Drosophila melanogaster: one gene and its partners. The protein of the gene in region 1 binds, or shares a complex with, the protein of each later gene. Each region holds a gene or a part of one and is shown in the gene's direction. Other genes may lie near its edges.

Evidence for each region. Proteins that work in one complex are often made in the same cells at the same time.
Region 2: wac (region 1) and dgt3 share a complex: the UniProt entries of both Drosophila melanogaster proteins name them as parts of the augmin complex.
Region 3: wac (region 1) and dgt5 share a complex: the UniProt entries of both Drosophila melanogaster proteins name them as parts of the augmin complex.

What each region holds. Positions count from the first base shown.
Region 1 is NT_037436.4:256,111-259,597, forward strand, and holds wac (wee augmin), read left to right. Parts: upstream 1-2,065; 5' UTR 2,066-2,281; coding exon 2,282-2,285; intron 2,286-2,295; exon of another isoform or gene 2,296-2,340; coding exon 2,341-2,653; intron 2,654-2,712; coding exon 2,713-2,887; 3' UTR 2,888-2,987; downstream 2,988-3,487. Other genes in the region: DIP2 (DISCO interacting protein 2), read right to left, coding at 104-483, 539-946, 1,020-1,091, 1,443-1,515; Tudor-SN (tudor staphylococcal nuclease), read right to left, coding at 3,393-3,487. UniProt on the Drosophila melanogaster protein: As part of the augmin complex, plays a role in centrosome-independent generation of spindle microtubules.
Region 2 is NT_033778.4:20,991,678-20,995,913, reverse strand, and holds dgt3 (dim gamma-tubulin 3), read left to right. Parts: upstream 1-1,532; 5' UTR 1,533-1,590; coding exon 1,591-1,608; intron 1,609-1,659; coding exon 1,660-1,988; intron 1,989-2,050; coding exon 2,051-2,413; intron 2,414-2,474; coding exon 2,475-3,140; intron 3,141-3,199; coding exon 3,200-3,377; intron 3,378-3,441; coding exon 3,442-3,585; 3' UTR 3,586-3,638; downstream 3,639-4,236. Other genes in the region: Prosalpha3 (proteasome alpha3 subunit), read right to left, coding at 1-468, 606-811, 921-923. UniProt on the Drosophila melanogaster protein: As part of the augmin complex, plays a role in centrosome-independent generation of spindle microtubules. The complex is required for mitotic spindle assembly through its involvement in localizing gamma-tubulin to spindle microtubules.
Region 3 is NT_033778.4:12,465,678-12,473,460, reverse strand, and holds dgt5 (dim gamma-tubulin 5), read left to right. Parts: upstream 1-1,685; 5' UTR 1,686-1,732; intron 1,733-1,738; exon of another isoform or gene 1,739-1,909; coding exon of another isoform or gene 1,910-3,517; intron 3,518-3,578; coding exon of another isoform or gene 3,579-4,549; intron 4,550-4,611; coding exon of another isoform or gene 4,612-4,708; exon of another isoform or gene 4,709-4,810; intron 4,811-5,268; 5' UTR 5,269-5,388; coding exon 5,389-5,483; intron 5,484-5,550; coding exon 5,551-5,828; intron 5,829-5,891; coding exon 5,892-7,116; intron 7,117-7,182; coding exon 7,183-7,370; intron 7,371-7,436; coding exon 7,437-7,708; 3' UTR 7,709-7,783. Other genes in the region: Nepl10 (Neprilysin-like 10), read right to left, coding at 1-1,546; CG8545 (uncharacterized protein), read right to left, coding at 1,910-3,517, 3,579-4,549, 4,612-4,708. UniProt on the Drosophila melanogaster protein: As part of the augmin complex, plays a role in centrosome-independent generation of spindle microtubules. The complex is required for mitotic spindle assembly through its involvement in localizing gamma-tubulin to spindle microtubules.

The sequences.
Region 1 (3,487 bases):
ACATCTGAACAGTATATATTTACTGCAATAAATATTCACAATCAACATATTGTCGAAGCTAGCTTTTTTTCCTCTTTAAATGTATTATTATTATATTACTCACAAGTGGGGGTAAGTTTTGCGGTGGTCGCCTTTCTGGAGCGCTATTCGGCGCCGTATACTTTTGATTTGTAATTTGGTTCTGTTTCACGTCTGTCCTCGCATGCTGCTGTGAACCCATCGATGATTCACGAATTGGAGGTTTAATTATCGGTTCTGGTGGCAGTATGCTATTGCTTATATGATCCCGTGGATAATTGTACTCCTTGTCGGGGGAAATTGTCTCCTCGGGTATGGATTCGTCATCCGTCGATGAGTCCAGCTCATCATTGCACCCAGGGCTTCGGTTTAATACAGATGTGCGCTTCGATGGCATTGGAAGGCTGGGTTTTGGCCGTCCCTTAAGAGCTGCAAGGGCCTGTTGCACAGCCTCTTGTCGTACTTCTAGGGGTCAGATGATCAGAGATAAAATGTTGTTGCTGTAACTTGTTCTACTAACCAGAATGATAACGTTTCTCATTGTGCGTTACTTTGCGCTGTGTGCGTCGTTGACGATGCTGACTATTATTAGTTGACTGTTGGTTCTGAAAAGCACTTGGTTCGCGAGTGTTCTGATACCCGGGATCGCCGACTGCTCCACCCTGCGGTCGCATATTTTCGTAGCCAGGAGCCCCAGCATTTCCGCTCTGTGGTGCCGATGACAAGCTCATGGCGGCTTGCTGATGGAAGTCAATTTTTTTGGAATGTCTTTGCTGCGAGGAGGACAGGGAGGGCACTTCAGTCACATAACTGTAGCCCTCGCTGGACACAATGACGCCGTCGTTATTGATGTTTCCGTGGTTGGTGCTGTTGTTGGCATTTTTAACGTTGTAGTATGGCGGTGGCGGCGTACTTTTCACTTTATCGCCTGTTCACAACAAAAGGATCAAGAACTTTCTGGTGACGACCAAACGACCAAATATCAATGTTTTCGAACATACCTTCTGGCTTCTTTAGGAACGGCTGCAACAGCTTCGCCCTTTTCTTTTCGTAGCCTTTCTGCGTAATGTCACCTAGAAAAGCAGATGGAATTGTTTTCTTAACGATTAATATGTCCGCTGGGCCTCGTCGTTTTTTGAAAAGCGTGGAGTAGCGACTGAATCATGTATTCATGCTGAAAGCCACACAACACAACACACACACTTTTCTTTTAATTGGTCGGTCCCCGACTATATGTGGGCAGCTTTCAGCGAAAGAAAAGCCGAGAACAGCACTTGTAATCCCATTTGGGGGCGACAAGTATCCAATGATTTGAATCAGACCAGACTACGTCTGCCACAGTTTTCACGCGATTTTCTACAACTCAGTCGCCGCACTTTAACAACAATATTTTATTTTTGTGTGTATTATTCAAATAGGTATACCTTCCGACAGCTCTAAGTCCAGTTCGGCGAGCTTCTCGCGGACGTAGCCAGGCAGCGAGGCAGTGTGCTCCATGGCAGATGAAAAGTGTGGCTTTAGGGTTTTGTTCTATCCTCTTCCTTGGAGGATTCGTCTAAACTTTGGCTGGTCGCAGTACACAAACACACCCAGACACCGCTACTTTCCCACTTCGTTGTCAAAAATCGATCGATTTGCCATTTATTCTATTTCACATTTTGCCGACGCAAATAAATACATCCGTACTTGCGCAGCACCAGTACTTTGGGTTAGTTAGAAAACACGATATTACGAATGTCTTTTACGAATTTGCACAATGAAAGTAAACAAAGAAAAATAGCAGTACAAATCGATTTTATGAACTAGCGAAAAATTGATAACTATTTCTTCATACTCTTGGGACAACGGCCTTTTTCAATTTTCGAGATGCGGTCACACTGCCCAAGTAATCGAACCACGAATTTAAGTGTTATTTTTAATGATATTAGGCATAGAACCATTACAATTAAAAAGCTCTATTATTTATTACTTTAATCGCTTGTCTCTTAAAATTCGATTCAACAAAAGCAATTGGTGGCATTTTGCTAGGTAGCCCTGAAATACTGTAGAGACTATCGATATCTGCACCTAAGGCGCCTATTATCACATTCGGATTACGAAGACAAAGACATGCGAAACCTGGATACGATTAGTGGCGAAGAAAAGCAAAGTCCTGCCAACTTAGTCTAAATTGTTTCTAAGCCGGCTGCCTATACGCCTGCGTTTTGAGCAAAGCGGTAGTATCTTTTTCGGAACCATCGATAGCTTGTCATCTCCAGTAAAAATGCGTGAGTTTATTTAAAAAAAACGCTAGGCATACAACTAATTATTCTTATGATGCAGAGAACTTGAAGATCCAAGAGGAAGTCAATTCATTGATGCGTCTAGGCCAGCACTTCGATGACCAGTTAAAGCTGGCTAGCGTCGAGTTGGGCGATTTCTCGGACGATGACCTGGCGCTCCTTGACAAATGCGCCCAATATTATTCACTTTTGCACATTCACGACATCAATCTGAACTACTTGCGCGACTTCTATTGTGCCAAGAAGAGGGAATGCATAGAAAACCGGCAGACCACAGTGCAGCAACGCGTAGAGCTGCAGCGCATCCTCTCGTCCATCGAGGAGGCGACTAGGGACGTAGTTATGTTGGAGAGGTATTGGTGAACAAATCCCTTTAATAGTTGAATCCCTGACCAAAACCATTCTTCTGCAGATTTAATGCTGCTGCGGAAGAGCGGCTCATCCCGGATATCGTCGTAATGCAGCGAAACGCCCAACAGCTTGCAACAAAACAGGCCTTACTGGACCGGCAAAAAACCCTTAAGATCCCAAAGGATTTTAGCATTGAAAGTGTCATCGAGAAGGTAGATTCGCTGGAGCAGCGCTAAAGAAGTGAATTGCTTTCGTTTTTAAAAAATTATTTAATTGTATTTACTCAGTAATGCAAAACACTTTACAAAAACATAAAATCTGCAAATTTTAAAGATGAATGTTGAGGTTTACAACTTGGAACACTACACAATCAGAGGGTGCACTTATTTTGGTTATTGTACGCATTTTAAAAACGTTCCAATTGTTGCTAGGTTGTGTCAAATATTTATTTAAAGTATCATGATAGGAAAACTAGAAGACCAAATAATAATTTGCCAGCTGCTTAAAGCATACAAAAAGTGTACCGTGTTCTTCCATGCCATTGCTCATATGTATGTATTTGTGTATTTCCAATGTGGTATATGTATCATATATATTGGTGTATAGATAGAATTAGTAATTTCATATTCTTTAAGTTCTTGCTTGTTGTTATGTATATAAAGGGCGGGTATGTGGCAGACAATCTTTTCGGCTAGCAACGCGCTCCACGCCACAGGCCTACTCCACGTTTCCGGGCATCTTTTAGCGGAACTCGGGCGCATCATCTTGCGTTATGTCACCGTACTTCCAGATGGCCAGATGCGCGACCCGAGCTGCTTCCTGCGCGGCTTTGTACT
Region 2 (4,236 bases), on another chromosome or scaffold:
GTCTTATTGTCCACACGCTGCAGCGTGGCCATCTCGACCTTCTCCGGGGTCAGCTTGGTGGTGTCCAGGGTCATGCTCAGTACCTTGATGGCCAAATCCTTGGCGTCCGCCAGCGTCAGCTTCACGTTCTCCTTATCGGCCAGCTCCTGCTTCAGCATGGAGATCGCGGCACCGAAGTTGTTGCCAATACAGGTGGCCTTCCATCCGCCGTAGTTGCCGCTGGGATCCGACTGGTACAGTTGGTAGCCGTACTTGTTGTCCCATCCCATGTAGAGCAGCGAGACGCCGAAGGGACGCTTTCCGCCGTACTGAGTGTACGCCTGTTTGATGTCGCAGAGGTGCGACACCAGCTGCTCGCAGGGAATCACCTCGCCGTAGCTGAACTGGTAACGCTGGGCAATCAGACGCAGTTCTGAGGTCAGCACATTGGCATCGGAGGTGATGCCAGCCACCGAGCAGACCATGTTGCTGAGGGAAAACAAAGAGGCTTGGATAGAGATAGATTCGTAGAGAATGTAGTGGGTAATTAAGATCATGGCCAGTTAAATATATGGCCTGTGACCCTTGAATTCATCGTAGGATATACTACTGAAATTTCAACTCACTCGTTCAGGCGATAGATCTTCTCCGAAGGAATGGCGCTGTCCAGCAATTTGTTTGTGCTGCGGCACTCGGCTGCCAACAGGATGCCGTCCTCGGCGAGGATTCCGAGGCAGGTTCCGGCGTGCGAGATGGCCTCCATGGCGTACTCCACCTGGTACAAACGGCCCTCCGGCGAGAAGATCGTGGTGCGGGAATCATAGCGGCGAGCCTGGGAAAATACACGCAAGTCAATTACTACCACGATTGCTAGCCTTCAATGGTCATCGGCCCAATGGTGGCTCTCAGACCAATACCGGTCTTCTGGGCGCGGTACTTACCATTGCTAAGGAATATACCAATTTACAAGTTTATTTTGCAAAACGAACAGAATTTACTTGTCATTCAGTGTAGGGTTGCCAGACTGCCACACGAAGTGCGTCCAAAGCGGTACCAGGGCTGCAAACTAGATGGCGTTAGGGTGTTTCTATTTACCAGGGGTGGTGTGCACGTTTATCCACATATCGATATAAGGTATTAAAATCATTTTAACAAAGATCAATTTATAAGCCCTTTAAGATTGAGGTGTACTAAAACATAATATTTACTTGAATTAAACTTAAGAACTTGTGTCAAATTTAGAAAAATTGTATCCTTACTTCATAGCAAAAATTTAAAATAATTCATATATAAAATATATATATATAATAAACAGAAATTTATTATATATATATATATATATATATATATATTATATATATTATATATATATATATATATATATATATATATTATATATATTATATATATATATATTTAACAGAAATAGATAAGAGTAAATATTTCATGAAATCGTTGATAGGAAATCAGGAATTTCTACGATTTTTATTAAGCTTAATTATTAAGCACTATTTCCTGTTAATTTTCAAAAGGTACCATCTCTAGTAACGTCTCTGAAACCTTTCGATATAACCGATAAGTAATCAGCTTGTGTTGTCATTTTTTTAAAAGATGGGCGATCTGCTGAGCGTATGTGTGATGATTTAATTAATGATCAGCTTATAATCGCCATGATTGCAGAACTCGGAATTCTTCAAGAAGCTGGGAGTGGACAGCTCGAACCAGTGGATTCTGTACGATGAGCAGATGGAGATGTTCTTCAAGTTCCTGTCCGGGAACATCACGGATGCAAATATCCTCACAGAGCGACAGGTTCTGGAGCGGGAGGAGATGCAGCGGCGGGGCGAGTGGCTAAGTGCTTCGGATCGCGAGCTCAAGCTCCTGCAAATCGAGGCCGAAAGTCCGGGGCTTCTCAACTACAAGCAGCAGGATGTCGACGCCTTGACCATGAGCATTGAGGCGATCGAAGATGCCTCAAGGGATTATGCTACGCTTCTGGAAGATATGATGTAAGGGAAAAACTGTAACCTTCCTCATATATGTTCGATCGATGGTCAATCCACTTTTGCAGGACCACAAAGCACTCGATAACTAAGCACCTAGGCGAGGTGGAGTGCGTCACCGCCGAGTTGCAACTGAGGGAGAAGGATCTGATAGCCGAGTGCCAGTCCAAAGCCAAGCAACTGGAGGAACTGCAGCAGGAGAACTGCCGGCTAAGCGCCGAAGCCAAAAAGGCATTCACCGCCCCACAGTTGCCGCCTCTATTCATGCATCAACTGCCATTGGAGCAGTATTTCCACAAATGCGATTCATTTATGCAATACTTTACTCTGTATGTGAAGGAGAATTTTAAGATCCAGGACTATGATGAGTTCCAGAGCGCGGAGGAAGATCTTGGGCGCGAAAAGGCCAAGCTGGAGGACTTGGAACGTGGGTAAGCACAAAGGTTCTGTGCTAAAAACAATGCACATTAATTGATATGACCGTTTTTACAGCATCCAGTTTTATGCACTATCCTACATAAGAACAAAGGCCAAGGTGAAGGCCACGCAGTGTCTTATTGACCAGTTGGATCTTGGCAAGATTCACTGCCTCAGTTTAACGGACATGGCGCGTGAAATGCACGATCTGCAGCTGCTCAACGACTATCAACTGAGCAATACACACGATACGCTTTTAAACGATCTAACCATTCACATTCAGCAGCACACCCAGCGACGTATTGAGCTGGTTCTCTACGAGAACACTAAACTGAAGTTGGAAAGAGCTGTTCGACGTCATGAAAGCGACAAGAAGCTCACTAAAATCATCTCAGATGCTCTGTCCAATGCGGAATTGCTGTGGATTGCGATCCAACTGGACTGCGACAAGAAGCGCAACTGCCTGGACACTTCGGAGGAGTTGCGCGACCAAGCGCAGGCCACTTGGCAAAGAATCCAGACCATGCGCTCCATTAACGCCAGTTATCAGGGCATTTGTGCCCAGTTTGTGCAGGAGATTGCCAATTTGTTGTCAGCCCACTTGGGACAGAACATAAAGGCAACTGAGGCCAAGGCTTGTCTCTTCGAATACGAAAAGTTCGGTCGCCTGCTGTCTTACTCCTTTCAGAGCATGCTGAACCGAAAGTCGTGTGCTGCTGTTCAGGATCAACTGGCAGAACTGTAAGTTGCAATACTTAACTTTGATACAGATCGTTTAAGCTATTAATATTTTTTTTTAGCAAGCGCTTGGAGCAGACTTTGCGGCCGTTTGTCTATGATTCCCCATTGGAGCAGCCCATGTTTGAGAACGTTCGCTACTTGAGCGCCATATACAATGTCACCCAGCAGCAAACTCGCCTGGATGAGTCAGGGCGTTCCTTGCGAAAAGATTTCCTGGAAAATGTCGTGGGGCGCATTGTAAGTATACTAATTAACTATAAAATCATGGAATATAACATTTTAATGTTGTTTATCCTTTTAGGAGCGGGATAAACTGTATCGCTATAGCGTAGTCCTGTGGATTTGGTTTCTCACTGAGCCGCAGCGCATGATGCATGCAATTGATGAGGTCAAAAAGGCAGCCGCTGCAGTAATTCGTCCAGGTGGTGGTCTGCACCGCAAGTGAACTTAGTTGATTTAGAATCTGGTCAGTAAATAAATGTTAAATTATTCAAAAATAAACATTACGGCGTTGCTAGTCTAATAATAAGTCAATACACTAAATTTAGGGATGCTGTATAATGTGTGTATGTAAAGATTCTTAGGCAGCAACATGATTTACTTTTGCTTACGACTTTGGTAATTGTTTTCCCCCCTTTGAAATGCCTTTTCCCTGGGCTATCAGATTTGGGTTCACTAAACACCGGGCGTATTAAGGCAGCATCGTCTTAAAGCAGTCTACACGAGTGCCACCAAAGAGACGCATTAATTGCTGGCGGCACGCGACGGCGTTTCCAAGCGATTACCATTCAGATTTGGCCAAGGAGCAACAAGTGAGGCCATAAAACCTTGTTCGCCTAACCTAGAGATTCACTTTCCGTGCAGACGAAGTCATTTGCCCGCCGATTTGCAGGACTCTCATTGGCTGCCGGCATTCGGGCTGCAGGACGAGTTTTGCCGAGCAGAGGTCCTTGCGGATATAAAAGGACCAACAGTTGTGGCCACTGGTTCACTCGATTATCGTGCTTCGGGCCATCTTTCCCCTCGTGACTTCCGGTAATACAATTGGATAAAGTGAAGTGTTTGTGCAAAGTGTGTTTTTTTAGTCAAATAAACC
Region 3 (7,783 bases), on another chromosome or scaffold:
CCGCACACTTGATGGCATCCCGAAAAGGCTTCGACTCCCGGATCTCCAAGCCCACAGGTGACTCATTTCCAGCTGCATCGAAGAGTATACCTTCCTGTTCAAAGGCGTGGTTCATCTCGTGGCCCAGGACTGCGCCCAGAAGACTGTGCTGGAAGATGGTGTGCTCTCGGTGATCGAACAAGGGCCACTGCAAAAATTCCATGGGAACAGTAATGGTGTTCCTTTCGTTCTCATAGAAGGGAGAAGTGCGAGCCTTCCTTACGTTATCGTTGACATAATAGTGCCGCAGATCCACTCGAGAATTCCTTGCAAGCAGTCCAGCATTCTGGAGACGGGTACGTAGGGCAAATGCTTCAAGGAGATTGGCCAGGAAGTTTGTCGCGGAAAAGTTCGCACTTCCATAGTGGTTATTATAGAACTCAGGAGATTTCTCCTCAGGCAAATTTCCTATTTTGATCTGAATACCTTCCAACTTTGCTCTTACATAGGCCAACTGGTTTGGCGTAAGCTGCAGGCGATTGGCATCTAAATATTGGCCAAAAGCTGCCTTTAAAGTGGATAAAATCTCCAGTACCTTACTGGTATCCTCCTCCCGGTTTTGGTATATAAATCGATCATAGATGTAGTTCATGCCCAGGGGTAAATAGGCACGCATATGGTGAATGCAGCTTCTTGGATTCCGCTCCCTTGGCTCCGACTCCTCCACTAAAACATATTGGCGTGCTCGAATGTACGTGTCCTTCGGCTCACTGGCGAAATCCCGTAGACAGCGAAAACATTCCCGCAAATACTCAACATCACTCACCTCGAAAGTCAGGTGATAAAGCTCCTCGGTGTGGTTCACGCCCAATAACTCAATAAAAAAGGAATGCGGAATAGGGATTTCCTGCCTTAATTCACTGAAACTCCATGTATATACAACAGGATATTCTGCACGATACTTATCCTGCAGCTGATGCATTTTCTCCACCAGTTTAACCACTCCCATCGAGTACCACGCTTCTTCGTAAAGGCGCATGAGCTGCAAGACACGGCGGTCACTATATCTATCAGCCGGGTCAGGCATCCTTAACTGAATAACCCAACGCATGGAATCATTGGCGGCCACATCAACTCGCTCATCAATGAATACACCATTCAAGCCGTATACGAGAAATTTTTTAGGATGCAAAATCCACTGATTGACCAGTTCTTCGGGACGAGGATTCCCGTGAAGCTTTCGCGTATCCTCCTTGCAGGCCTTGTAGTATTGTCGCATTTGCTTTATCAGTCGGGGTGCCAGTGTATCGTTTTCACCCAAGTGGCTCTCCATGAATTCCACCATGGCAGTGGCGAACTGATCCTCGACTCGCTCAAAGTTGTCCACATATTTAGAGGCACTGGAGAAGCGACCGCAGGCAAAATTCCAGAAATTCGTGCACGGTGATGTTGTTCTATTGAGATTATTGTGAATATCGTTCGACGTTGCCACGTTGATGTCCACTATTGCCTGGATGGGAATGAATAATGCCACCAGGCAAGAGCACAGTAAAAGTAAACATCCCATTAAGCTCGCTCGATTCACAATGAAACAACAGATTATCGCAACGCTCTGCTGAGCTCGGCCACCTTCGAACTACCTATAGAGCTTTGGGGCTGATAGTGACAGCTTGGTCAATACTAGAATTCACATTTGAAATGTAGAGCAATTACCTCTAATGAAATGTGCCTGCCACCTATATAAACCCGCTTGGTGAGTACATTAAACCGATCTTAACGTTTATTGAATCTTAATTACACCGCTGTTGTAGTTCAATCTTCAATCGTTCGCTAAGACAGTTCGCAATATAAAATTGGTAATCGCGTCGGGACTACCCCAACTATATGTCACACGCTTATAGTCTACTTAACAAAACTGGATCTAAGGTGTTCACTTCTTGAACTTTTGCTTCTTTCCCGCATTCGCACCCGCCGTGGACTTTTTCAGCTGGCCGATCTGTTTGGATTTTTGCTTCAGCTTGTTCTGCTTCTTGATGGGTTTTCCCTCGAGAATGGGCACATCGTCGATATCCACTCGCGGCGCCTTGGCCAGTTTGGCGTTTCCCTTGGGCGACTGTTTTCCTTTCGGCTGTGGCTTCGTTTTCGTTTCCTTAATTGCTGATTTGCTAGGGGAGTTTGTGCCATTGGTTGTTGGCTTATTGTCATCTGGTTTAGCTGGTGATCCGGCTCCATTTTCCTTGGGTTGCGATCCTTTGTTCTTTTTATTGAATGATTTCGCATCTGAATTGGAAACAGTGGTTTTCCCATTGGTTTGTTTTTGTTTAGGTGCAGACTTGGAAGGTGACTCGCTTGAATTTGTTTGCTTGTCCGGTGCCTGGGATTTCTCATTTTTCTTCTCTGCTGGCTTTTCTGGCTTTGGCTTTTTGACAGGCTGCTCAAACACCTTGGCCACATACTTGGTCTTGCTCTCTTCCCGCTTCTTTTTCTTCAGTTCCTGTTCGATTTCGGTGAAACTGGGTTTTCCGGCGCGCTTTCCAAGCAGTTTTCGGGGACCCTTCTCCTTTGACGCTACCTCCTCCTCCACCTCCTCAGACTCCGCAGCCGCTTCTGTAGTGGCGTCCGCTTCGATGGCCTCATCCAGCTGCTTTTCATCCTCCTCCTGCTGCTCCTTAGTTATGGGTATGGTGTTGGAGAATTTCTTGAGCTTGGCCACGTAGAACCCGTCCATGTTGTGGGTGTGCGGATAGTAGCGCTTGGTAAGGTTTAAGCTAGGATGGAACCGATGCTGACGGAATTTGGTAAAGCCCTCCACGCCGAAGTCCAGACCAGTGGGCACAAGTTTGACATTTCGCTTCTTCAGTGCATAGTCGATGACCCATTCGTTCTCCTCGGGCAACACCGAACAAGTTGAGTATACAATGTAGCCGCCAGTTGATGACTTCGCATCCGTACAATCTATGGCAGTCAGCAGAAGCTTCCTCTGCAGGTTGTAGCACCTTTGTACATCTACTTCCGACTTGGTGGTCTTCACACTGGGATCCTTAGAGACGACGCCAGTTCCAGTGCACGGAGCATCCAGCAGGACACGGTCAAAGCCAGTCATAATATTCCGGAACTTAGTGCCATCCTCGCAGCTGACCACTGCATTTACAATTCCCAGGCGATGGAAATTGGCAACAATGGCCTTGATGCGATCCCTGTTAGAATCGTTGGCGAAGAGCACACCAGTGTTCTTCATGATGCTTGCGATGTGGGATCCCTTTCCACCTGGGGCGGAGCACATGTCCAGGATGCGTTCGTTCTCTTGCGGGGCGAGTGCCATTACAGGCAACAGCGAAGAGGCGCCCTGGATCATGTAGTGGCCAGCCAGATACTCTGGAGTTGCACCCAGTGGCACCTGTGAGTTAAAGACAACCAATCCAACTTTCGTCCATTTACCAAGGGGATCCAAGTTGACGCCACGATTGATCAGAGCTCCGGCCAAATCCCTACGACGTGTTTTTAGAGTATTGGTGCGTATGGTTAGGGGACGAGCAATCTAAAGGGGTTAATTTTTAATGATTAATCTTGTAACTATATTTTTTATGAAATATACTAACCTCTGAGGCCTCCAGATATTCCATTAGCTCTGTCAGCGGCAACATATCCATCAGCTTCTCCATCAAAAATTCGTTGTAGCTGTAATACAAACACAGATCCCTGCGCAGCAAATCGATGTACTCCCCGCGAGACCTATCCGCTTGACGATACCTTTTGAAGTCGGAAAGAACCAGACTGACGTCCTTTATGCGCTGTTGCACTTCCTGCAGGGTTAGGTCCTTCTCGGTTTCTTCGCCTTCGACGGGTAGCTGGAAAACATCCTGCTTGTCAACGGTTTCCAACATTTCGTCGTCGGCCAGTTGGGCTTCCTCTGCCTCGCGCTTTTTCAACTTCTTGTTAGCCCGCTCGATGGGCAGCTTGTCATCATCATCATCATCATCATCATCGTCGTCGTCCTCATCCTCCTCTTCATCACTGTCTGCCTGAGCACCATCTTCCTCGCCAGATATGTCAAAGTCATCGTCGGAGTTGGCATCATCATCGTCGGATAGATCGGCCAGCTTGCCAACCTGAGCGGTATCATCATCAGATTCCAATCCTTCCTCATCGTCTCCCTCCTCTTCCTCTTCACATTCTTCTCCCAACTCATCTTCGGAGTCCTCCTCCGACTCCTCATCCTCCTCCTCCTCCTCCTCGGACTCCGTTTCTGGCTGCTTCTGTTGCTTCTTGGGCTTCAGCCAGGCATCATTATCATCTGTAAAACCCTTGGGAGCTGTAGCTTTCTGGCCCTTCGGAGCCGGCACCAGTTGAGGCACCTCCTCATCGGAGGATGCAACCTGTGGTTCCTCTTCATTATCCTCAGGATCGCTGTCGCTGTTGTAGGCCGTCTTCCGCTTAGCCGGTTGTGGTAACTTTCCCTTGGCCCTCTTCTCCTGTAGTTTGGCCTTCTGGACTACTTTCTTTTGCTCTCGCTTAACGAACCTCTGCTTCTGTCGGTGGGAAAGCTTCTTGTCCTCCTCTTCCATGGGAGCTGTGAAGTAAAACATTTGAATTGAACACCCATTGAATAGGGTAATATTCAGGAGCTCTCACCAAACGATTGTTTGCGAAAAACAGGCGGTCCTTGCTTGCGCGCCTTGCGCCCAGGTCCCTTTTTCGGTTTCTCACTGTATTCAGCCTTCCGACCCATATTTTTAACTTAGTTTATCCAGTTTCTTGGAGCAGAACTTAAAAAAAAACGTGAGCACTTCGATTTTGCTCCACGTGCGCCGCTCAAAAGACAGCGAGTGTTTTCCAGCACTGGTCAGAGGGAATTGCTTGAGCCAGTGCTGTCAACTTTTCAGCTTTTAACTAGCTATGAACAATGTTTTTTTTTCAACATATATTAATAACTAATAAAATTATATATTACTTTAAATTTTATTTTGTCGGACTTTGCTTGATTCTTACACAGTTTATTTATACAGATTACGTTAGTATATATATTTGGAAAACACGTGGAACTTTTTAATTAAGATATTTTAGCTACTTGCTCTCCCAGCTGTTTAGCAGCAAACGTATTTCTCAGCACTATAAAAACGAGTTGGTAAACTAATTGGTAAATCCAAAAATATCATAAATAAAAAAAATCTGGAATATATCTAATTAACAGAATTCTTGCTTATAAGTAAGTATTATATCCATTCAATAATTAGATATGATCTTTAGTTGTAATTTAAAATGAAAAATTAATTTAAATAACCGTTATAGTTGCTGCCAACTTGATGCGAATAGTAGTTTGTTGACAACCCTGCCATATTTGATTGTGTTGGTGAATGGCTGGTTCAAACGACTGCGCCTTTTTGCGAAAAATTTAATTAGTTGCAAATCATGGCATACCAGGAGAAAATAACAGAATTTAAGAACTGGGCCACTAATCTTGGCTGCCCGCCCACTGCCCTGCCCACCGATGATGCACTCCGAAGGTAAGTTACAGCTGTGTTAGGCAAATCGGCAACTATCCGTACTTAAAACCCGCTTTTTGCTTCACAGAATTTTTAAGTCCGGCTCCAGTTTACTTTTGAACCAGCTGCAATCCCGCATCCAGCCGGTGGATTACGTGCGGGAGGTGCGCGAGAACCTGCTGATTGCCCAAGTGGCTCGCTACAAGGACAAAATGGTGCCGCTGGCCTCTAGGAGTTTCCAGCCACCGGAGCTCCAGAGGTACCAAAAAATACAGGAGCTAAAGAAGCACAAGGAGAAGGCGAACCAACAGCTTACGGAGGCCCGAAAAGAGTACCAAAAGCTATCTGCCGGCATCAAGACCAAGAGTGGGTATAAAGTGAACATACTGATAACCTTGACGTCAATTTAATGCGGTGAATCCCATACAGACATTCAAACCATCAGTGCTGAGAACCGGAAGCAACTACTTGAATCCAAATGCAATATCCTTGACCTGAAGCTGGAGTCGCTGAATAAGAACTACGACCAGGAGTTGAAGAACAAGATCCAAATCTTGGGCACCACGCCCGTGAAGCTGAGTGCTAGAAATGCCAGCGAGGCGCAGGCAACAAGGGCTGTGGAGCAGGCTCTCAAGCAGCTGGAGACCTTCTATGGAATGTGTGACGATGGCAATGCGGTGAACAATTTAGCCGAGGCCAAGCAGCGATTATGGGATCAGATGCGGAGCACCTTTGCGGATATTCCCAACTCCCTGCTTCTGAACGTGGTAATGAAGATCAAAGAGGAGCAGCTGCAGCACATCATGAAGCTGAATGAATCCAGAGGCGAATGCACAAATGATAAGCCACCGCTGAATAACTATGAGGTCAAGTTACTAAAGACCAAGGCCGATATGCTGGGTCTGGCGGCCAAATATTTCGCGGCCCAAAAGGAGCTGGAACTGAAGGAGGAACGCTTTTGCCAAGACTACAGCGTCTTTGTGGACAAACTGCAATCAAAGGTATACAGATTTAATGGCATAAGTTTGGGCGACGAGGAAAATGCGGATGAACTGATTAGCGACTATCTGGTGCAGTACAACATGCGCAATTTTAATCGCTCCCAAAACGAATTCCTTCGTGAGCAGATTGAGCAACTGCGTCTGGAGCTAGATGCGGGCGCCAAGCAGCTGGAGAATCACGATCTAAAGCTAGGCTCTGTGAAACAAGTATACGGCGACATTAACTCCAGCATCAATCGCATCCAGCAAGATATGGTGCAGCTGTCACAGATCAAGGAGAAGATCCTGTTTTCGCGAAATATGATGAAGAACCTGCTGGACGATATGCAAGCGGCCACACAGAAACAAAACGCCAAGTCCCAGCTGATGAGCACTAAGCTAAAAGTCAGCAATATGTCCATGTTGGGTGCGGAGAGTTTTTGCCTGGCCAATGATAGTGTGTTCTCCAGCACCAAGGTGGAGTTCGATGGCAACTGCAGCGCAATAAACTCAACGATGCGTCGCAGTTTTGACAACAAAACGCTAGTGCCGGGCGGAGCAGCATCTACCACACTGATGGCTGCATCCGGAGCCACGCTACCATCGCATTTGCTGGAATTCAATACATTTTTGGAAATACCGCTGGAAAAATTTAGCTGTACGCCGCGCGCCTGGTGAGAGCATACTTTAGCTGAATGTGCTATTTCCAATTAATCCAGAGTTCATGTTTTTTCCGACAGCTCCTTCCTGTTGTCGGCCAATCCACTCATCGTCGAGGCCCAGGAGTTGGCCTCCACCGTTCAACTGGCACCAGGCTATTTGCTAACACCCTTCGGCGCTCTGCAGGAAGTCCGAAAACGCATTTTGTGGGCGTCAGCAATTGCCGCACACACGTCTGAGTTGAAATTGAATTTGCAGCCGTTAATTGGTAAGCTCGATTCCGACATTTTGTCTCATATCCGTCTGATAGAAAACGTATCACCCTGCTCCCCAGTTGATCCGCACGATTTGAGACTGAAGGCGAGTCGTCAGCACGAGGAAATTGACCAATTGCTGGACAACCTGATGGCCATTGGGGTGAAGACTCAGTTGCAGCTGGAAAAGGCCGAGCGCATCTATCAGTTCCTGCTTGAGAATCCATTGCGACGCTACGTTCCACCCAGTAAACGATACAACAATGGCAGTTTCGCGGACTACGAGTCCGAATTCAATCTCTACTATCGCATGACCACCAATGGAAGTTCGATGCGAGCGCCACCTAATTAAGTACGTTATTTGTGTTGTGAATACTGTAGCCCTTTTCAATTTTAAATTATATGAATATCCTGTACTGTTAGAATG